2 linked regions of the Lonchura striata genome follow. The protein of the gene in region 1 purifies or fractionates together with the protein of each later gene. This does not show direct contact. Links are inferred from orthologs where the notes say so. Each region holds a gene or a part of one and is shown in the gene's direction. Other genes may lie near its edges. The genes, in order: RNF25 and ubiquitin-conjugating enzyme E2 E2.

Region 1 (11,692 bases):
AGGGTGCTCAGGCTGTATTCCCCCAACATACACTGACAACCCCATAACTTCTGTCCCTGAGGGCAGAGGGTGTGGAGGAGGGAGATGGGGGCACTCTTACCAGGAGGCTTTGCTGGCAGAGTCTCATCTCACTGTCAGCTGGCACAGCTAGCAGCTCCGGCAGCAGGGCCAGGAAGCAGTCAGCACTCTCCTGGATGGTCTGCAGTCTGTGGGGGGCAGCAAGGGCAGATGAGTGCAGAGAAACATGGCCCCTTGCTTTGAGGGAAGGCCCACATGGCCCTGGCTAATGGAGCAGGCAGCACACACACTGTGAGCTGCTGCCAGCAGGCAGCACAACTGGACTTGTCAACTGTGCCTTTCCTTGAATTAATCCCATTCAAGGAAAGTGCTCCTCTGTGAGCACAGCAATACAGCATGAAGTGCTTAGACCATAATGCTTCCCCACAGAGACAACTCCAGCTGCAGAGTATGAACACCACCCTTCCACCTACTGCCAGGTCCCCAAAGTGACCACACAAGACCTCAGGGAACAGGAGGTTTTCCCTACCTGTATTTTTGCCCACTCTCCTCTAGGCTACTGAAACAAACTTTGGTCACCACGAGGAGGTCTGTCAGCACAGCGATACACCAGGGCTGCTGCAGAATCCAGAAAGAAACCATAAATGGGGATTGTCTGCTGGCCATCCCCACAACTCTATGACAGGATCCTTCCCTACCAGAACCTCCCCCTTCTCAAGGATGCCTGGAAGAGGAACCAGGTCCAGCAGGACACCAGGGCCTCCTCAGCACCAGCACTCTGCAGGCGCCCACATTTCCCTGGGGTTCTACACTCACCTGCTTGGTTACACCACTTTCCAGGATCTGCTTGGCTAGACACAGCAGGGACAGAGGCACATTTAGCTCTTGGCAGAAGTGGTCCAGCAGCTCAGCATCACACCGGGTAGACAGGAGGTTGCCAATAACACGAAGCACAGAACGAAGATGGGAGGCTCCCTCCAGCATCCCTTCCAGCACCTGGACACAGAGAAGCCAGAAGAGCTTATAATGAGCAGCAATTTTGGTGTCTCCACCAGCCATGAAGCAGCCCTTCAACCCACTCAGGCAGGGGACAGCAGAGGAGCAGATGGCAAGCCAAGTGCACAAGACAGCTCCAACTCCCGGAGAAGCAGAGGATCTTTTTGCTGGCTGGGCTGAAGATTCTCCATATGTTTCCAACCTAATCTTGATAAACAAGGCAGCATCCAAGTCTCCAGTCTTAGTTGCCTGGGCCAGCAATCATTTACCTGCTGAGCAGAGGCTGCCAGGTGGTCCTGGACACGGTGCTGGAAAGCCGAGTCCCTCAGGAGGCTCAGAGGCACACTCAGCTGCATGGCTGAGGGCTCAGTGTCCTCAATCAGGTGCTGCCACTCCTCATCACTCTCCAACTCCTAGCCACAGAAGAGAGAGGACTGGTGCCACAAACCCTGCCAGTCCCAGGGTCTCTGTACCAGCCCCTGGAAACTGGGCCCTGCTGTCCTCACTCAAGACACCATCTTACCTCACTCTCCAGGTCCACAGCCTCAGTGCTGTGCCTGCTGCAGGGCTCTGCCCTGCCAGCACCAGGCTGTGAAGGGGAACCTGCTCCAAGAAACTCCCACTCACAGTCTTGAGAGAGGTTGTGCTGCCTGGCCAAGGAAACAGTACAGTCAGTGAAAGACCTTTCCTTCCCCTCTTCCTTCTCTCCCAGCCTGTGCCTCTCTCTCCCTGGGATAGGAGGAGACTCCTCAGACTCCCACTCTGCTCTGCTGTTCTTTCCTTGCAGGAGACATGGGTTCTTCTCATTGGAGACAGCCAATGGCTCCCTCTCCTCAGGGACTGCTTTCCGTGATGCTGCTCTGGGACTATGTGTGGGATGTCCATTGGCAGAAACCTTCATAGATGCATCACCTGCCTTCAGTTGCCCCTGGTGATGGCAGAGAAGTTTGGTCAGGGCAGGGTTACTCAGTCAGATGAGTCCTCTAGATTCCACTACCATAAGCACTCCACATCCTGCCTTGTGTGTTGCTGACACCCCAGCCTGACCCATGTACTCATGTGTTTTCCCCCAGGGCCCACTTCAGTGTCCTTCCTTTGCTCTGACTGTGAGACATAGCATGAGGAACCTCACACTTTACTCCACCTTTTTCTGTGTCTCTTCAACCATCTTCTTCTGGGCCTTTCTCAAGATCCTGGACTGGCTGCTCCTGGGGGCCATGGAATGTACTTGCTGCTCCTTCAGGGCCTGCAGCTCTGGAGATAGCTTGACGGTAAAGGGGTTTGAAATCCCATGCTTTTCTGTGTCATCAGTCACTGGGGAGGCAAGAGGAGAACTTCAGCAGCAGCTCTCTCTTGAGAGCGTGATCTTTCTTGAGATCCCAGGGGAATCCTAAGGAACCCAGAGCAAGACCAAGAGCAGGAGCTAGGAGTCAGTGCTTGGAAAAAGCTGAGAGGAGAGAGGCATAGACCAGGATAGTGAGAAATGGCAGGGCAGGGAGGTCCTCCCAGTCTCCAGACAGTAGTAGAAGGAAACAGACCTGGACAGTTTTGGAAAAGGACTAAGTACTTACCAGTAACCCATCCAGCAATGAAGGGGTGAGAAAGTAGCTCTGGCCATGACAGACGCTCATGGGGGTTCTTCATTAGTAGTCCCTGAAGGAAGCTCTGCAGAGCAGCGGAGCAGCAGGATCACTGACACATGTTCAGCACCCACCAGTGAGCATAGTGTACCCAATCAGTCTCCCTCACTGAGGGCACCCAGGAGGCCTGCCTTTCCTGCCTAGCTCTGGGAAAGGAGTAGCTCTAGTGCTTAGGGCAGATGGCAAGACATTTCCCTTCGTAACCCACTAAATCACTCCTCTGCTGTTGGACCCAGTTTCCCAGCTCATAGACAGCAGACATTTGATAACAGTGATAAGGATTCCCATTCCAGGAGATCCAGCTCTCATTCACACAGCTTTTCTGTGTTCTGAAGTCACTGTTAGGGGACATAAAACCTAAGAGTGACCCACCAGGGAAGCAGGTGAGGCCAAAACTGCATTAACAGATCTCACCCTGCAGACAGGGCCTCGGCCCTTACCTTGAACACTGGGCTCATGTCCACAGGCCATTTGACAGGGTCCTTGATGATGAGGCTGACAAGCTGGAAGATGCTGTTGGTGTAGAAGGGAGGAGTGCCCACAAACAGCTCATACAAGATGCAGCCCACTGACCACAGGTCTGCGGTGTGGTCATACGGCCGTTCTTCCACCAGCTCAGGGGACATGTACAGCGGGGTGCCCTTGATGGATGTCAGCACCATGGTGTGGATGCTCATGGCACGGGCAAACCTGCTCAAAGTACAGATCTAAAGTTCAGGCTGAAACATCAGTTGCAGATCTTAGGGAGCTCCCTATGAGTTTATCCTCCTCTGGAGGACAAAATCTCCCCTCTCTGCCTAATTTCTAAATATGCACAGAACCCAGGCCCTCTTCCGCACTCCTTCACTCCTCCTCTGCAGCACTCAGGAAACCCCTTGGCTGCTCCAAGCACCAGCATTCCCCTCAAGCTGGCCTCCAGCACTCACCCAAAGTCACAGAGCTTGACAACACTATCTTTTCCCAGCAGGATGTTCTGGGGTTTCATATCCCGGTGCAGGATGCGGTGGGAGTGCAGGTAATAGAGAGCAGAGATGAGCTGGGCAGCTATGGTCTGGACCTGCCAGAGACACAGAAGCCTCACCCTGTGTCCCATGGTGCCACCCGCTGGCACAACCACAGGGGCTAGGTCCCTTACAGCCTGGCTCCCACACTACTTCTACTTTTGTCCTGTTTGGGGCAGGGATCATCCCCAGCTGTGGGCCAGTAGTTTCTTGGAGTGGGTCAATAGCCATGGCAGTCTAGTGCTGTGGCCCTTGTAAAGGGAACAGAGAAACTGAGGTCTCTGCAGGACCCCACTGTCCCACAATGCCAACCTGGCCCCTTCTCGATGCTTTTCAGAAGATCTGCCAGGTAAAGTCCCAGAGGCACCCTCACCCTCCTGACACTCCTGGCTCACAGCAGAGACCCTCTTCCTGCAGGCACACAAGTCCTGTTTTCTCTAGCCTGCAGCAAACACTGCATGGCCACTGCAGTGATAGACACCTGGCTCTCAGGCAAACTCCCATCATCCTCCAGGATCTGGAAAAGCTCTCCCTCTGCATAGTCAGTCACTACCACCACCTGGAGAGAAGAACAACATGGTGAGATCAGGCCCTGGGGACCAGAACAAAGCAGGGTAACACATTTGCGGGAAGGTGTTGGGGTGCCATCATGCAAATTCCATCAGCTTGGGCTGGGACTTGGAATGGAAGAGAGCTCCCATAGCTGGCAGAGATCTTGTAGCTGTCCATATCTCAGCCAGCAAAAACAAGGGAAGAGGGAAGGACAAGACAAGCCCAGAATGGCACTGCCAAGCCCAGTGGGTAGAATCACTCCTTGAGCTTGTTTTGAATCTGCTGTCCAATTACTTTATTTCACGTTCCCATGTGCTATAGGACAGTCTTCAATCCTCTCTTATCATATTATATCCATGTGAGTTTAAATCAGTGAAAAGCCAGTCTCTGAAGAGAGTGATGAGTGAAGAGTGACCCTCATCCTGTGATCTCAAACCACTCCTCCTGCACCACACAGCACCTGGTCAGCTCCTTCACCTCTGCATATGACCTAGTGCAGCCCATACAGGTGTTGGCTCCCCACATGGCACATACTAAAGGGCTCTGAAAAACACTAACCAGAGCCTGGTATGAAGTCACCAGCATCTCTTGAGAAAGATGTCCCTACAACAGCAGGGAACAGTACTTGTTCACCTGCCCCAGTCAAGCAAAAGTCTTTGCCTGGAGTAATCCCCTTCACCTCCTTAGCAGTCTCAAAGCTGTCAAGCATCTGGATGATGTTAGGGTGATGGAGGTCTCTCACAATCTCAATTTCCCGCTGCAGGTTCTTCAGCTCCTTCTCGGACCGCCCCACCTTGGGGATGAACTTCAAGGCCACCACCTTTCAAAGCAGGAAAAGCTGGGATCAGACCAGACTCCTGGTCAGACCCACACTGGCAAAGGCTGCTTTTAACCCAAACAGGGTTCCAGCTGAACACAGACAACAGAACAATGAGACATTTGTTCACTGGGCCTTTGGACCTAGGGGTCTCCCTAGGCTCACTTATGCTCACTTAGGCTCACTGATGCTCACACCTCTTTTCACACTGGCATTTCAAGCAAAGAAATGTAACCAGTGAACACAGATAAACTTCAGAAACATGGGACAGGACCTCAAGATGCTGGTGAACAGCAGGCCTAACATGAGCCAGCAGTGTGCCCTGGAAATGAGGAACAGTAGCAGCACCCTGGGCTGTATCAACAGGCAGGAACCGCAGCAAAGTGATTACTGACCTTTATTTCTAATCTTGTGCACCATGTTGGGAATATTGTGGCCAGGTTTTTGGCCCAGAACATCAATAGGAGGGAATGGGTATAGCAGAGAGGCCCATGATGGTGAGGGGACTGAAGCATTTGGGAGGACGACATGGGAATTACAAATTGAAACGGAGGGAGGTTCAATTTGGTAGCAGAATCATCCTAGAAATAGTCAGGCATCAGCTATGGGGTGTTTGTCTTGGGGGTTTCAGAGGATCTAAATTTAGTGCTGGCTCTGCTTTGAGGTCTTGAAGTCGCTCCTGAGTCCCTTGAATCCGGATGACTTAGTGCCAGCTGGAGCTGGTCAGGAACGTCAGCAGAAAGCCGAAGGAATGCCGAGTCCCAAAATCCTGGCAGAGCCTTAGAAGCCGAGAGGCACCAGAAATCAGCCCCGGCCACACACAGCAGAGCCCCAGCCCTGTCCCCTCACCTGGGCGCTGTGCTTCCGGCGCCCCTTGTACACGCGCCCGAAGGACCCTTCGCCGATCATCTCCAGGATGTGGTAGTTCTCCATCGCTCGGGACGGGGCCGCTGAGCTGCGAGGCAAAGAGGCCAGTGCGGGGCAGCGCGTCCCCTCCCGCGGGGCTGCACCCCGCGCCCGTTCCCCCGGGCGAGTGTCGTCCCCCCGCGCCCCAGGCTTTGCTCCTACCCACCGGCGCCAAGGCAGGACGAGCCCCGAGCAGCAGCGGCAGCGACCCCGCCGCGGGACGAGCCTCGCCCCGCTCCGCCGCCGGCCCGGGCCCGCCGCCGCGGCGTCTCCTGGCAACCGGCTCGCCGCTTCCGCTTCCGGGCGGGCGGCGAGATGGCGGCGGCCGCTGGGGAGGCGGAGGCGACGGACTGGTAACAGCCCCCGAACCTTCCCCGGTCTCTGCGCCCTCCCACGTGCCCGCACCTTCCCGGCCCCCGCACCCCCGCTGTCCCGCACCCCCAGCCCGCCGGAGCCGTCTGACCCCCGCCTGCTCGGTTCCCGCAGGGCGCTGCCGCCGGAGGTGGAGGTGCTGGAGTCCATCTACCTGGAGGAGCTGCAGGTGGCGCGGGGCCTGGGCAGGTACGTCCCGCGCTCCCCATCCGCGGCCCGGCCCCGCGCCGCCCTCCTCACCCCGATCTGCCCGTTCTGCAGGTGGGAGCCTTGGGAGATCAGCATCACCCTGTACCCTGCCACGGCCCAGGACCAGGACTCGCAGTACGTGCGCTTCACCCTGGTGCTCTCCGTGCCCCCGCAGGTAGGCTGCCCGCGCCCCCCGGGCCCCCGCACCTCCGAGCCTCGGGCCTCTCCACCTTCCTTGTTGTGCTTTGGCTGTTTCTCTTTTATCCTAGTATCCTGATAAAGCTCCGGAGATCTCCATCAGGAATCCGCGGGGGCTGTCAGATGAGCAAATTCAAAAGTGAGTGGCAATTCTTTCCTCCCGAGATTCAGGAGGCAGAACTGATGGACAAGCCTTCTCTAATTCACATGACTTCCTGTGTCTGGTTAACATATGGATACAGGTCCCTAAATCACTTTGTCCTAAATCTTTCAGGAGCCACTGGTGCCGAATTTGACACAGAGGGGTCCACCTTGTGGTTATTACCCTGTGGTTCCCCTCAAATCTTATTGGAATCCCTGGGGCCTTGAAAGTTGCTGGTCCTGCCCTGACAGATGTGGGATTGATCCGAGTCCTTGGGCAGCCCGTTGTTGTATTTGTGCTTTGGCCCTTGGCACAATGGAATGTGTGCAGAGACCTTGGTGCCTGCCGGCAGTACGAGAGGACATGGCTCCCAACAGACCTCCTCAGGGGCTGCTGTCAGATAAACAAAACCTGGGATTCACCAAAACCAAAGGTTGCTGGTTGAGCTCAAGCTGAGGCTATCAGCAAACCTGCTCCTGCAAGTTCTGTAATAACATAGGCTTCCTGTGCACTGGCTTGTGGTGAGCCAGGAACACACATGAATACATGTGTGCTCATCCTGTACTCCATGCAAAGCCTGAAGACCGTGCTCCCTATTTTCCTCCCGTCATCATGGCAAGTACGTGGGACAGTGAAAAGTGTGGCTAAATTTGTGTTAAGGATTTCTGCTGCTTTGCTGTAGGATTTCCCAGACCCTCAGAAGTGTTGCTGAAGCCAGGCTGGGGACAGAGGTGCTCTATGAACTGATTGAGGTGAGAGTGAGGAGATTGGGTGTGACCAGCCACAGACACTGATCCCTGACTTCCCAAGGGGTGGGACATCCCTGAGCCCATGGACAGGCCAGTGAGTAAAATGTTTGCTTTAATGTTTTCACAGAAGGGAAAGGAGATCCTCACTGACAACAATATTCCTCAAGGACAGTGTGTAATCTGCCTCTATGGATTCCAGGTAGGCATGTGTCTCCTGACCCCACAAACTGACTGGGAAGTGAGGCAAGAGAACAGGAAGTCTGACACTGGGATATCAGCCTGGGACCAAGATGTACACCAGCAGCCCACTGCCTCCCATTCTGCACAGGGCCCTTCCTAGTGCAATACATGCTGCTCTTCCCATAAATTTCTAGATAATCTTCTACAGAAAATGGACGTAGGGCAGCAAGAGATGCTGGAGCATCTCCAAGGAAGTGTAGGCTCTGGGGCTAGTTGGTGATGCATTTCAGCTTCCCTGTGTTGGCTACACCTCACCATGAGTTCAGCACACAGGTGGTCAGGAGGGACTAGAACATATCTATCCAGGTGCTAAGGTCTGTGGGGATAGGGGAGCAGGCCTTACCAGATTGCAAGGGAAGTCAACACCTGCCTAGGAAGGAGAACACATCAAGTGGGAAGATTGCTGGTTACACAGGAACACATACAGAAAAATCAGTCATAAAATCTTTGCATATTGACATTAGGAGTGTTTCTAACATTTGAAACAAGAAGCAGCATCCCAGTAATTGCTGAAGGAGTGGAGGTGCAGCCCAACAGATGATGCTGGGCGGCTCTGCTAGCACTAATTCCCCATGGATACCACTGACATGAAAGTGAAAACCCAGCTCAACTGTGTGGTTGCACAACTCTTTGCATAGAAATCCTTCAAAGATGCCCTTTTCTCTTGACAGGAGAAAGAAGCCTTCACAAAGACCCAGTGCTACCACTACTTCCACTCCCACTGTCTGGCCCGCTACGCCCAGCACATGGAGGAGGAGATCCTCATGCAGCAGGAGGAGAGAGGGCAGCACCTTGCACCATCCCCTAAACAGGTACTGGGCCTCCTTCCTTGGCCCCCTGCACAGACCCTTTTAACATCTGTATCACCCTCTTTGGCACATGGAGCCTGTGCTGAGAATCACAGGGATTAGACTAAGTTATCTCCAAGGGCCCTTTCTGACCAAACAAGTTGGTTTATTGAATCTCTGGGACAGTGCCTGCTGTGTGAGGGGGTAAGGCAGTTGCATTTTTAGACTTCTGCAACCACAGAAGTTAGAAAAAAGGGCTCGCTCCTTCCCTAGTCCTAATCCTTGTCCTTGAACTGTGGGGGGTTGCAGCAGAGTAAACACAAATCACCTGTGTTTTGGGGTGATAATACCTGCCTAGCATGGGTTGGAACAGTTGTCAGCTGCAGAGCAAACAGCACAGCTGAGTATGGAACAATCAAAGACTCCTTCCCACAAACCCTTCCAAGGAGGTGCTGCCTTGATGACACACTACGCTTTGGAGCACAAAAAAATACATCCTAGGCTGCGGGCTGAAGCCATATGTGTTGACAGGGGTGCTTTGTAAAGCAGTCAGCTGCTGGAGTACAAATCCCAGCATGTCTTATATGGAGACACCTTCCATAGCAGTTGTTGAGACACCAGGCTGCTTTCATGCTGCTGGAACCCCTCTGGGCTTCCTTACCTTGGCAGAAGAGTGAAGAAGACAACCCTGTTTCACTTCCAGGGTGGGGTTATGGGGCAGTGCATGAGCTGGATCACAGACAGGGTTTGCTATCATCTTTTGCCTCTCCACAGGAAGTTGGTGTGCAGTGCCCTGTCTGCCGGGAGACCCTGGTTTACGATCTCTGTGCTCTGAAGGCAGCACCGCCCCCGCAGCACCCTCTGGTAAGAGATGGGGGCTCACCTGCCCAGCTGTGCCCCCTCACTGGGTAGCTTCAACTGGGACATTGTAATGCATGCACACTCTCTATCAAGTCCTCCTAGATTGCCTATTCAAAGGGCAGCTCACAGAGCAGGTTCAGTTTGATAGCCCTGAGTTGAGCAGATGTGCTGAGGGAGAGGTGGTTCTGCCATGGGGAACATCCCTGCACTCACTGGGAAACAATCAGGTCAGGAGAGTGACCTGATAGCAGCTGCTTTGCATCCTGCCCCACAGCAGGATGGCCCAAGGCAGTCACTGCAGAAACAGTGGGTCTGCACTGGGATGCTTGGCTTCTGTTCAGGGATTTCCCATTCATCTGCAGACCTGGTCAGTGTGGCAGAAAGAAGCAGGCTGCCTGGCACTGTGCAAAGAAGGGTTTGGGGAGTAGCTCCCAGCCCTGCCACTGCCTATCCATGCTAGGTTTTGAGAGAGCCCTTACCTTGCCTTGCTTTCTTCTGCTCAGGAGCCATACAGGCCAGATGCCAAGGTGCTGCAGCACCAGGAAGAACTGCGCCTGATTTTCAAGAGACAGCAAGAGAAAGGGGGAATCATCGACCCTGAGGCAGAGAGGAACCGATATTTCATCAGCCTCCAGGCGGTACGGCACTGGGGGCAGAGAGCTTCTGAGGGGGCTCTGGGCTACAGGACCAAGCACTGTCATCTGCTGTGGGACACCCCTCTCCTTTTCTTAACCAGTAGCTTTTTTCTTTCAGCCTCCAGCTGCTGTGGATACAGGCCAAGCAGCCACTGCCTCTGAGCTGTCGGTGAGTGCCCGTGCTGCGGACGTGCCCCAGCCGTCCAGCCAAGCCTCGGCTCCCGAGCCAGCAGGGGCGTCAGAGGCCAGGGTGGAACCCGGGCAGCCTGAGAGATGTGCTGTGCCCAGAGAGCAGCTGAGCAAGAGGGAGAGGCACAGAGGGGAGAGGCCAGGCTCCAGAGGCCGGGGCAGGCAGCTGTGCAGTAGCTTGCAGGAACCAGGAGAGGAAGCCTGTCATCCACTCCACAGCTCCAGGGGGCCCAGGGTCTTCAGCCAGAGAGCAGAGCATAGACCTGCTGGACGGCACAGCCAGTTTTCAAAGCCTCCCAGTAGAAGCAGGGCTGCTCCCTTGGCTGAAAGAAGGGAGCTGTGCCGTGAAGACCCCTCACCAGCAGCAGAAACTGTGGACTTGAAAGAGGAGCACCATGACATGGAAAAATGGAGCACAGAGGAGGGGACTGAGGCCCGGGGCAGGAAAAAGGAGAACCTGATGTTCAACCGCAGTGACCACAAAGCTGCCCCCAACTGGCAGGGCCACCATAGGCCCTGGGATTGTGGAAGATGGGAGAGGTCCAGAGTTCAGGAGCATGGTTCCTACCCCAGAGCACCAAGAGGGCGAGGGGCGTTCAGGCCCAGTGGACATCAAGAAGCCCATCTTGAGAAGGAGAGCGGCTCCTAGCAGGAATGATGAGGGGCTGGGGGAATAAAAGGGCTATTTCTGGAGAGAACGGATGAAGGATCTGATGAAGCAGTAGCAAGCAGATACTGTACCCCTGGAAGGGGGGAGTCAGATGGCACATGGGACAGGCAGTGTCACCAGGGTTTGTGCAGTGTAAAGCATCATGGCATGAGCAGCTGGTTGTTACCAGCATTGGAGACATGGAACCTTGACAGATCATATCAGCCTTGGTCTCAGAGGACCCAGGTGACAGAGGTAGCTTTGGGGACCTGCAGCTATTGTCCCTGTAGGTGAAATGCCAAGAAACATGCACACCTACAGAGCAAAGCGTCTGAGCCCAGCATGGTGCCATGGCAGAGCCAAAGTGTGGCAAGACCTTCCCTGGAAGCCAGTGGAGCTGTGGTGGTGCCAAGTGCCAGAGCAGTATCTTGGAGCTCAGCTCCACTTGCTCTGTCCCCCATTCATTCTCAGAGCATCTCTTCAACTGCTGCAATTGGCCAGGCAAATCCTTATTACACAGAACATTGCCCAGTTCCAGCCAGGACATCTAAATTAAGCTTAAGTCAACACATTGGCAAGTCATAGCTGGCTGGTGGCCAAGGCTTCACCTTGGCTCCTGCATCTCCAGGAAGCCCATATTTAGCTGGAACTTCTGCCCTGTCTTTCAGCTGCTTTTGTGTGCAGGCTGAAGCTGATTTGGGGAACCTCAGAGAAGAGTACTCTGCTTTGTAACCTGTACGTGTCAGAATC
Region 2 (11,499 bases), on another chromosome or scaffold:
TAAATACAGCTATAGAGGCTCTCAACTGAGTTATGACGTCAAGCAAAATTCCTTCAAATACCCATTATGACAAGATAAAGATATCTGAGAGTCCACTTTTGTGCAGCTCAGGGCTCTGAACCGTGGTAAGGACACAGGAAGAAAGTCTGCTTCCTTAGGGAGTAGATATGTGTTCCTGTCTTGTGCTTTCCGGCTTCCTAAAATAAATGTTTGCTTCACCTGTGTCCTCTTCACTGCATCTCCATAACTTTGCAGTCATGGGAACAGTTCTGAGGTAATTAAGAGAGTATGTCCCTACCCTGAAGTTGCTGCACCCACTGCTTGCTTTGTTTCATGCAGTTGAGGAAGATGAGCACTTGCTCTTTTGATTCCTGCTCCCTGAAGTTCTACAGATGTAGCTTACGGAAGAGTAGACAGAAGTTTGCCAGGTTCTGCCTAGACCTATGGGCAAGATATTCCATTTATTCCCTGCCATAGTTACCACCAAGGATGAGACTAAAGATATTTGACTTTTTCTTCTTTTCTTCATCCTCAGACTTAGGCCCTGGCAGCTGCTTTATTGGCACCAGTTGTGTATAAGAGTCCATAAAGCAGAAGGAATAATTTAGGTTTATCAAGCTGCAGACATTCCCCTTCATCCCTTCCAATTACAGCAGAGATCAGGCTCTTTGGCTGGGATTTTCAGGAAGCAAGTACAAAATGTGACTAGTCTGACTTATTAGTTCAGGGGACTTCCACTTCACTGGGGGAATCCCCGGTAGAGAACATGCGGGTATTTTCCACCGTATACGAGGCAGACAATCTGCTTCAGATTGATTGTGGTCCTCTGGGTTCCTGAAATTTATTTGGTCACTCTTATTGAAGGGACTGAACAAGCCTGCTTATGGGGTTTGGTTTGCTGTGGAGGATGCAGAGCCTACTCCCTAGGCATGCATTAATAATGCATTAAACATAGAGAACATTAGCCCACATTCTTCTGGAACCTTAACTTTATTAAAAGGGAACATGAGTGCCCACGGCTTCTTTTTCAGTGTAAAGATGTAACTTTCCCAACAGAACCACAAGAGATCCTCAGAATTTTACCCATCTTTAATCAGAAAACCAAGCTCTGATTCTGTGAATTAAGATATTACGAAACCAACAGAAAATAATAGGAACGCGGAGGTGCTGAAGAGAGTGTGGAAGTAACAACTAAAACACCCCAATTTTCTTTTCTAACCTATCTTCACTTTTCAACATTCTCTCCCACATATGGTGATGAATTAAGACAGGCAATGCAGGGAATTCTTCCAGTTACAGGTCAGTGCATTACAATAGCTCTGGAAATAAAGATTTTTCCCTTCAGTACATGCAATATGAGATTTTTAAAGCAGTGGCTATGTCTAGGATTTAGTTGTCAACAATTTCTGTGTAGAAACTATCACAGAATTATCCTATGCAATTACTTGCACTTAGGCTCTAACTGAGGCTCTAAACCAGCACATAGAAACGAACCTCTGTTCAGGACATTATGCAGTTAATTTATTCCCTCCCTACCTTAAACAAAAATACAGGCTTTCATTAAGGACACGGAAGCAGGTTATTACCTCCCTCCTACCCACTCCTAATATGTTTTATCTTTATTCTTTACAATCCTGGATAGCAAAGCAGCTGAGAGCCACCAGGATTTCTGATGCCACACGGTTATTGTCTCAGTTGTTTGTTCTGGTTCCAGCCGAATGATAGTGGGAGCTGTTCTGCTTCTGAGCAAAGGGGAGGAGGAGCTGCAAATTCTTCGTTTTTTAGGCTGGAATGAAAGAGACCTTAAAAGCTGTTTGCCACACAACTTACAACTCCTTTTGTATTTAATGGCCTGGAAATATTAGAGTGAATAAATGCTAATGATTTGGGGGTTTGCAGTATTGTAGAGCAAATAAAGAAGTCAGGCTAGCAGTAACTTGCCTCTGTGTTCACACAATCATTTTACTTCAGAATGCCATGAAAATAATTTAAACAGACTTCTGTCAAGGCATTGTTTGAACAATAGGCTTACTTAGTTTTCAGGATTCAATCAATGTTTTCCTTGATATAGGATGCCATTTTTTATATGATGAGGACATACACAATTAACTGAAAACTCTTAAGTAAATTTCTGCTGCAGATATCTTCCTTGCTATGCCACTTTATTCTACACGCTGATAGAAGAGAAACAAAAAGAAGAATCCTTATCTCTGAATCACTCAGAAACTGCATTTTCAAACACAGCTGGCACTTCAGAGATCAGGGTACCTGTGAATTTCAGTTTACATTTGCCAACAGACAGAGTAGGATTCATCCATGCAGCAACAAAAGCAAAGTACAATTGTAGAAAAAAAAAAAAATAGATATAGTGTGAGAATAAACTATCTACAAATAGGAGAAAGAGAATTACCAAAGAGGGAAAAATAGACAACAGGCTAGATCCTCTGAATGGTCCTCACAGATTTATGTCATCATAGTAGTTTAAGGAAAACCAGCTATGGGAGAAGAATCCTGGAACAGCATGAAGCTACTGCAGAAACTCCTCATTCTGTGCTCAGGATGGAGAACCAGACTGGGAAAGAGAGGACCTGCTGCTGAGAGCTGCCTGCTGTCCACTATCCAAACAGCCCCACAGGGCCCAACTCCTAGCAGGGGAGGGATGGGGGGAACAACACAGGCTTCAACAGCTGGAGCTGGAATCAGGTAAGAAATGAATAAAGGCACCTTTGTCCCCATTCCTCCAAACTTCTGCTGATAATAGTTCAGATGGATTAAACAAACTGGCTCATTAGGACTTGGCTGAAAAAGATTGATGTAACAATCAGACACATCATGGACAAGTTAATATTATCATCTCACTTTTTAATATAAAATAATAAAGTTTTGAAAGAGAGATATGCTGTCACAAGAGAGATAGTTATGTCTTCACCTATACCACAGCTGAGATGATTTCTCATCTTTTCTCTACCTTAGAAAATCAAACCCTTTTTTCTAGTTACTACTTGACAATAGCGTTCATTCAATGACTTTAACAGTGATATAAAAACATGTCCTTTTAAATGGGAATGAACAGTAATGCATAAATAGAAATGCAGAAAAAACTCAAAAGTTGCATTTTCCTATTTCTTTTCTTGACATGGAACGATATTTCCCTGTTTTTTTAACTAAACAGAAATGGATAAGACTCACTGTAACTGAGTACAGCTCTCAGTATAGCAAAAAAAAGTTTAAAAACCTGAAAAATTTAAATAGATCTATTACTTCTTTAAATTAAACACTTCTAAATGGAAACTTTGCTCAGGTTTCTCCAACTTCATAGATTTTGACTGACATATCTGCCCTTGTAACAGACACTCAAATCAAGAACCCTTAACAAAAGTGTCCTTAACCATAATAGTTTTAAAGCATGACTGCCTGTGCTAGGTGAGATGAACTCTGGCGTGTCTCCACAAGGAAGCTCCCAGTCTCTATGAGAGTAAAGAACTCATGTTGCTTGCTTTAGATGTGTCTGGTGGTGTAAATAGTGTCAGCTTTTAGAAACCAGACAAAGCCAAACATGGAGGGAAAAAAAAAAAAAGTGTAACTGTGTGCCTTAGCACTCCAGCATGGGTGAAATCTAACACTGAAGTATTGCCACTCACTTCAAAAGGGCCAGAATTCAACCTATAGAATCCAAATTTAGAAAAGTCTTCAAAAGATTTTGAGCAATATTATGCCACCTTTAACATCTGAGGGCAAAACACGTTATTTTGAAAGGTCAAAAGGATAAAAGCGGGAGCAGCTGACTACCCTGCCCTACTCTCTTTACACTACATAGGTAGGGCTCATTCAAAACCTCTGCTTTTAAAACAGGGCACACCTCAGTGTGTATTTTCTATTCATAAGGCAGTACAAACCTGCCTAGTTTAGTTGTCCTTAAATTAAGCCCTACCATTCAGGGCTCTGGGCCAGAGGTCAAACACCAAAAGAAGAAATCAGGGCCTGACTCGTGATGACTCAAACCTCTCACTCGGTGCTCAAACACTCCAGCGCTCCCTTGATTATTTTGGCATTGGGAAATTATGACCCAGATTCTGGGACACTGTATGGCCCCATCCTGCCCCTGTCTCAATTAGGCTATTCACTCAGCTTTTCTCTCTGTGCTTCCTGCAAATCCTAGCAGAAAAGATCTGTAATGAAGCACCATGAACTGCCACCAAAGAGAGACCTCCTGAGATGGGCTGAGGAGTTAAGACAGATCAATGTATGCCTCCTTTTAAGGCACCCTTAAGCCATCAGAGCAACATTAAGGAAGTATGGTTAGAAGAATCATTTAGAATTGAATTTTATCACTTCCTGGATAGCTTTCAGGGGGTCTGTTTTCAAATGACTGAAAGGAGAAAGCATGGTTTAAGTGATTTTAGAAAAGGGAACCATGATGTCAAAAGTGTACAATGCACCTTTCAGCACAATGAGTAACATTACTTGCTGGAGGTTTGCATTTTTTGAAGGACTTTTGCACTTCATATTCTATTAATTACTTAATTATTAATTCTTCCGAGAAGTCAATGTATGCTTAGCAGATAGAAACCCACCTAGATGACATTAGGAGCTTTTCTCCATCACAAGCAAGAAAATATCTTGTAAATGCACACGGAATAGGAAGAACTAGCTGACTGTGGTATTTTTAGGTTTAGGTGAAAATAACACTGGGATTATTTAGCAAAGAAATAGGAAGAGGAAATAAACCAAATAATTTAAAAACAATTTCTCAACAAAGAAAATTGTTGATGTTCAGGGTAACTGCAGAAATCACTTCAGTTATCTGGATATAATACGAGAGCAGGTATCAATGATGTTTCTAACCCTAATATATCTCAGTAATGCTTCAAGTTCTCAACTTCTGTATGTTTGGTGGCACAGGCTCCACCTACACCTCAAGCATAAGTCAATAAAAATACAACGCTTCGCAGTTCAAGCAGGGAAAAACTTTTCCTCCTACATGTGGAATGGTGAGAACACATTTTATTTTTTTAATCCCCTTTAGTTGTTGTTATGTGTAACATAGATAATTTGTGCCTGTAGAATGATAATGATGTAATGTTTTGTATTATTTAAAAAAGCATACCAGCCGGTACTAGGGGGTTTGCCTCACATATGTTGAATCTGTCTCTGATAAGACCTCATTACAAGTTAATACATGTAGTTCATCTGGAGATGGGTTGTTTCTCAACGTAATCCAGGAAATCCCGAGTGATGATGGTCCCAACAACAACCCAAGACTGCAATCACTGGAACCACCCAAAAGGATACATCTCAATACCATGTTCCCTTCCTGGACACCGAATTGTTCAACTCAGCATAGAGAAAAGAGACTTTATGAATATGTGGGACTTTGAATGGAAAGAAAAGGCTGATCACTGAAATCCTGGCCTCGAGCAAAATAAACCATATAAAAGTTGCTCGCACAGAACAGGTGGTGCGAAACATAGGGGGATCCTCTGCTGTAGCGGTCAGCACCACTTCCCAGCTGTCTGACCCAGCGCCGATCCCGGGCTCGGCACTGTCCGTTTCTTTGTGGCTGGCTCAGACAGATTTCAATTGCTAAATAAAATCAATTTTTATTTTTAATTCGGCTGGATTAATTTTTTATCTATAGCAGTTATTAAAAAAGGGAAAACATTTTGACTTGGCAATACCTCTTTACCCTTGGCTGGTAGATTTCCCTGTTTAAGGAAGAAAGGTTTGAGGTGATAGTTTACATAACATACCTAAGCATATTATGTAAAGATTAAAGCAGCAGGGTCGGCACAGGGACAGAAGTGTCTCACTCGCCCAGCGCAGTCCGGGTTACCTGACAATCAGTTCTGCTGGAGGTTTGTTTTGTTCCAGGTTAATATTCGCACTAAACAACTAACATTTAAGTGCGGCTCTGCCTTGGCCTCTCCCATTCCTGACCGCGATGCTTTCCACAGAGGCAATGCCCGCCTGCGTGGGAGGTGAGGTTCATTTACCTGGCCACAATCGGGCGACAGCGCCTATCTCCAGCCGGGATACCGCACGTCACCGGGGCCGCCGGCGGCCCGGGGCGGTTTGTGCCCCGGGCTGTGCTGATGCCACGGCGGACAAAACTAGCGCGGTAACACAGAGTGTGGCCACCAAGTGCCGAGGCCCGGGCCCTCCCGCAGGCCGGCCGAGGCACCGCGTGCCCCGCACCGCCCCTCCCCAGGTACCGCGCCGCTCCCCGCCCGGGGCAGCGCCGCGTCCCGCCGGCGGCTCCCTCCGGCTCCGCCGAGACAAAGGCGCTGGGGAGCTGCGGGCCGCCGGGACCGGGGAGGGGGCGGCGGAGGGGGCCGAGGGGAACAAAGGAGCCGAAAAAGACGAGAAGAGCCGAGAAAGTTGATGCCGGCCTCCGCCGCTCCCTGCCCTGTCCCGGCCTGCCCCTTCCACCTCCCGGACTTTCGCGTGGGGGCCCACGGCAGCCCGGCGGCGGCAGGGAAAAAGGCCGGGTACCCTCACCTCCATCCCCCCCGAATCCCTGGCCAAAGGTCCCGGCTCACCCCATCCCCTCCCGCCGCCTCCTCCTCCTTCTTCCTCTGCCCCGCTGACCCCGCCCAGCCCCCGGTGCTTCCCTTTAACGCGCGCTCCCGCCGCCGCCTCTTGCCCCTCCCCCCTGCCCGGCGGCGCGCGGCCTCCGCCGGCCCCCGCGGACGCGCGCCCGCCCGCGCGCCCATCCCGTCACTTCCCCCCCCGCTCCCCCGCCGAGGCCGCGCGCGCCCCCGCCCTCCCGCCCCTCCCTCGGCGGCCCGCGAGCGCCCGGAATAATTGGCTGGCGGGCGCGCGCGCGCGCGGCGCCGGGCGGACGGGTGGGGGCGCGCGCGCGCGCGGAGGCGGCGGCGGGGGTGCGCGCGCGCGCGCGGCAGCGGCTTCACTTCTCTCCGGGCAGCGGGGGCAGGAGCGGCGGCGGAGGGAGAAGCAGCCGCGGCCGTCGCTGCTGCTCGGGAGAGACGGCAAAGGGGAGAGGAAGCCGAGAGCGAGGAGCGCGGGGCAGCGGGCTCATGACTCACTGAGCGGCTGCAGCCCCTTTCCAGCCCCGCGCCCGGCCGGAGTCGGGGCGCCCGCGACGGATTGTCCCGCAGCCTGTGCCCGGCACCAGCGAGAGAGAGACCTGCGCTCGCCTGCAGGTAGCAGCGGCTTCCCCCCCGTCTCTGCCGGGGTACACCTACCTCTGCCCCGCCTGAGCTCCCCGTCCTCCTCCCCTCCCCCCGCCGGGCTCCTACCCCCATGTCGCTCGCCATCCCTCCCCCACGGCAGCACCCTCTCCCCCGCATTTATCTGCGATCCTCGGTCTCTACCTTTATCCTTCATCTTCCCTCCCTTCTCCGCATCCCCCTGGTGCTGCCTGGTACCCCCTTGCCCCCCTTGTCATCCTCGGCTGTGCCCTTTCCTAGCAACCGTCCCGGCCGCCCCCCCCGCCGCCCCCGGCCACCTCGGCATCTCTGGAGGCGCTCCTCGCTCCCCCAGGCTCCATCCAGCCTCCATTGCTCCTCAGCACCCCCACACCCTTTCAGCAACTCTTCCGTGTCCATTTGTCCTGCTCGCCCTGCTGCGGGCGGGAGCGGCGACCACCCCCGCTCCCCACCACCCCTCCGGCCCCGCTCCGCATGGTCCCCGCGGCACTCTCTGCGCCCCTGGGGGGCCGGGGTACCCCCTGCCCCCCACCACGATCGAGCCTCCTGGGATGCGCTACCCCCACGCCCCCCGCCGCAGCGGTGGGCACCCCGGGCTGGAGCCCCCCGGGAAGGGCACTACCCCCCCCACCCCCGCGCCCCAAGGAGCCCCGCAGCCCAGCCCTCTCCCTTCTCGCATGTGCCCCCGACGTCTTCCTCTCGCAGTCTCCTCCTCCTCCTCTCCTCGGTTGTCTCCTACTTCTCACCCTAGCCCGGCCGCCGCCCGCGCGGCCGTGGGAGTGCGGGGGGTGCGTGGTTCTGGGGATGCTCGCGGCCCCCACCCGCTGCCTACGGCGGGGGATTCCCGACGGGAGAGTCGCTCCCGTGCCCACGCGCGGCCGTGGGAGCCCGGAGCTGCCGTCCTGTCCCATCCCATCCTTCCGGGTGCCCTTCTCAGCGGCGAACACACCGGGCTCTTTCTGCCTCCCGTCCCGCGATGCTGTGGTCTTGCCCTTTATGGTTTCTAATGAAGATGAAGTAAGGCGGCTGCTGCCATTGCTGCTCGTGGTGGACCCTGCAGAAATACTCAATTTATCTTGGCTTATAGGAAATTACGAGCGCTTTAGAAAGACATCATCACTAGCTCTGCCGCCCTTGGGACCCATCTGCACGTTGCCAGGATCTTGCTGTTCCCGACTGGTGGATTTTTTTTTTTTTTTCCTGGCGTGTGATATCTGATAATGACTGGTGGTTTGGGGTATTTTTGTCTTTTCTTTTTTGTTGTTGTTTTTGGTTTGTTTGTTTTTATTGTTGGTTTGTTATTGTTGTTGGTTTGTCTGTTTTTATTGTTGTTTTTTTTTTTTTTTTTTTTTTTAGTTTGAGGAGGAAAGGGAAGGTGCCCGTGGATATATTTGACAAAAGCAAAATATTTTGGATGCCCTTCACTTTGAATTGATAGTTGTAGTTACACTTGTAATCTGTCTCGGTGCTGATTCATCTCACGTTAAGGGAGAGACTTTTAAGTCCCCTTTCATTCCTTCCTCTGTCCCCTCTGCTCATTTTTCTCTGCACAACAGCAGGGAGGTTAGCAACCCTTGTCTGAATGTAGAATAGCCTGGCAGCCAGGAACCTGGACATCGTGTGTCTTTCCTCTTGCCCTGTGTGACAGTTGCAAACACACTTATGGCTCTTCAGATTCAAGGATTATCTTGTATTTCTGTCTGTGTTGGTGGCAGTGAAATGTTTTCTTCACAGTGTCATCCTCTCAGTTGACTTTTTTTACCCCAGTCTCTTACTTGGTCATATGTTTATGTGTCTTTTAAGTTTGACCCCATTAGAAATGTTTAATTTCAGGCCCCTTAAAGCATGGTTTTAATGCAATTTTGAGCATCCTTTGAGCAAAACTCCCTAAAATTGCAGGTATTTTGAGGAGAGTGAATAGAAATAATTGCCTGGATGTCAGAAGGGGGAACAGAGACAGAAGGAGAAAGGGGGGAAAAAAACATCCAAAACCCAAATCTCCCCCCCACCCCTGCCAGAAACTAGCCAGACATCAAATGACAGATTTAAACATTTTCCTCTTGTAAATGCTGGTGTTACATGTTACAGTAATTATATGCTCTGGGCTACTGTTACAGTATTTATCTGCTGGATAGTAACCTGAACTTAGGAAGTGAATACAGTTGTTTTTTGGATAATAGTAATATTTGTAGCCAAGATTATTCATAGCAGATGTCCTATGCATATAAGTATTATTAAATATGCTTTTAACTTTCTGGCCTGCAGTGTTGAAGCCTATGTACATTGTGAAGAGAGAAATTTTCTCTTTAAAATTAGATGTATTAAGCAAGGTCAGAAGTAAAATCTAGGGCAAATAAAGGCCAACATAAGTGTTATAAAAAGAGATGAGGTTTATGTAGAAGTCAGGAAAATGGGTACTTACTACCAAAATTGCATTAAAGTTGCATATTTTGACTTGTCAGAATGTGACACTTTTGTTGTTTATTACCTCTAAGCATTCTGCTGCTTTACCTTGAAATCACACAATAGGATTTAAATATCTGAACATCAGTCTGCGTAAATTTATGGACTATGTTAAATGTATTGTTACAGCTGTACTGTAGGAGAAATTGTTCTCTAGGAGTGGACAATTCTTATGTTTTAATTTTAGGGCAGAAATTCTAGATTATTTCAGTTACTTTAATGAGCAGGTTAGGTCTTGTGTGTTTATATATATTTAGATGCAAAAATACTATTTTCTGTTATAAAATCAAAAATGCAGCTTAAGCGATGAAGGGAAACTTTAGTCACATATTCATCACTTGGTATTGCTTGCTGTTTCTTTTAATGCATAAACATTTTGAAGGGGTGCCATACTTCCAGAATTCTTTTTCAGTATAGCTTCACAAGATAGATGAAAAAGACCTAATTCCTCCTGAAGTTAGTTGGATGTGTCAATAATGCCTGAAGAGATTATTTCTTCTGCTCCATAGTGTGTATTATTTGATAGAATTAGATCTTGGCAAGGTTTTTTAGTATAGGAGTAAATTTATTTCTATTTTGTAACAAGAACACTTAGGCCTTTTTAAAAAGCATCCTTTTCAACATAACCCTATTAGCATTGATATTAATTTACTTTTCCTTTGCTGTCTCTTTCCATAAATATGTACAGGGAGATGAACTTTGTTTAATACATAGAACAAGCATGGTTGAATCTGAGCCTGAAATCTCATTATTCTCCCTTGAGCGAGTCTTAAAACACATAATAGTCAAGGTGAATAGGTTTGTTCTTAATTGTGATGATGTCTGTACATAGGTAAGAGGAAAAGCGAGTCGAAGTTCACAGCAATTTGAAACTCTTTGTGTATGAAAGAGCAAATTCTTAGTTCAGACAGATTTGATCAGAAAACCACCCAGATATACAGGGATTGTGTGGGTGTAAGCAAGTTAACATTTGGGCCTGTCTACTTTTTATTAAAAATCTCTAGAGAAGGATATGTAACACAGGTGTATAAGGTACAGATTTGGTGTTAAAGGAAAGACCTGGGTTTCACTTTGGTTTTAATTTGGTTTTGGCTTTGTTGGTTTAGGTTTTTGGGTTTTTTTTTTTGTTTTTTTTTTTTTTTTTTTTTTTTGTTTGTTTGTTTGTTTGTTTTGGTTTTTTTTTTTTTAATCAGTTAGTGCCACCAGATATGCTAATTCAGTAAGAGTTTTTCATGGACATCTGCCCTTCATTAGAACAGTTTGAGAGTTTGAGATGTCATGACAGCTGTAACAGCGGGCTTGTAATTCCTCATCTGTTGGCGTATTGTTATACTATTTAAAATGAAGGAAGAAATTAAAATAGCTAACTAGTATCAGAAGTGTGCAAATAAAGCATCAACTTGACTTCTGAAATATGCTGAGATTTCTTACGGCTCATATTCTCTGACAAGTTTGTTGCCTCATGTTGCCTGAATGAAATGTCAGGAAAAACTTTGTTATATCCTCTACCAATGTGCTCACTATTTTAGTAAATACAAACAGTCCTGTGTTAAAGCTTTTTAGTTCTGTGTTTCCATCAAGCATGCCAAGATGTGGATTTTGTAATGTGGAAACCCACATTGTACACTTGGAATGAGCCCACAAATTTATTTCATATGGGATAACAGAGAGTCCTAAGATACTAATAACTCTCCGTTTTTAGCTAGCTGTGGTAGATATGAACTGGTGGCATAGTTGATGGGACAGCTAACTCATGCCACTGCTGAGTGGTTGAAAAACATAATTCACAGTGAATGGTTTTACACTTTCAGGATTATGTTTCCCACTTAACTTCAGTAACTTCTGGTTTTCATACATATATATATGT

What was found.
Region 2: the proteins of RNF25 (region 1) and ubiquitin-conjugating enzyme E2 E2 purify together in Homo sapiens (affinity purification with mass spectrometry; 3 studies listed by BioGRID and IntAct, counting the BioPlex papers as one, with this or other methods). This does not show direct contact. The link is inferred for Lonchura striata from reciprocal best matches to the Homo sapiens genes RNF25 and UBE2E2.

What each region holds. Positions count from the first base shown.
Region 1 is NC_134610.1:15,672,748-15,684,439, reverse strand, and holds the start of RNF25 (E3 ubiquitin-protein ligase RNF25), read left to right. Parts: upstream 1-6,235; 5' UTR 6,236-6,245; coding exon 6,246-6,283; intron 6,284-6,416; coding exon 6,417-6,491; intron 6,492-6,563; coding exon 6,564-6,666; intron 6,667-6,760; coding exon 6,761-6,828; intron 6,829-7,491; coding exon of another isoform or gene 7,492-7,513; coding exon 7,514-7,583; intron 7,584-7,707; coding exon 7,708-7,779; intron 7,780-8,491; coding exon 8,492-8,632; intron 8,633-9,382; coding exon 9,383-9,472; intron 9,473-9,972; coding exon 9,973-10,107; intron 10,108-10,222; coding exon 10,223-10,942; 3' UTR 10,943-11,692. Other genes in the region: STK36 (serine/threonine-protein kinase 36), read right to left, coding at 101-206, 548-636, 835-1,014, 1,284-1,427, 1,538-1,942, 2,159-2,328, 2,586-2,679, 3,095-3,344 and 4 more. UniProt on the Homo sapiens protein: E3 ubiquitin-protein ligase that plays a key role in the RNF14-RNF25 translation quality control pathway, a pathway that takes place when a ribosome has stalled during translation, and which promotes ubiquitination and degradation of translation factors on stalled ribosomes.
Region 2 is NC_134603.1:119,107,652-119,119,150, reverse strand, and holds the start of ubiquitin-conjugating enzyme E2 E2, read left to right. Parts: upstream 1-6,874; 5' UTR 6,875-7,163; intron 7,164-11,499.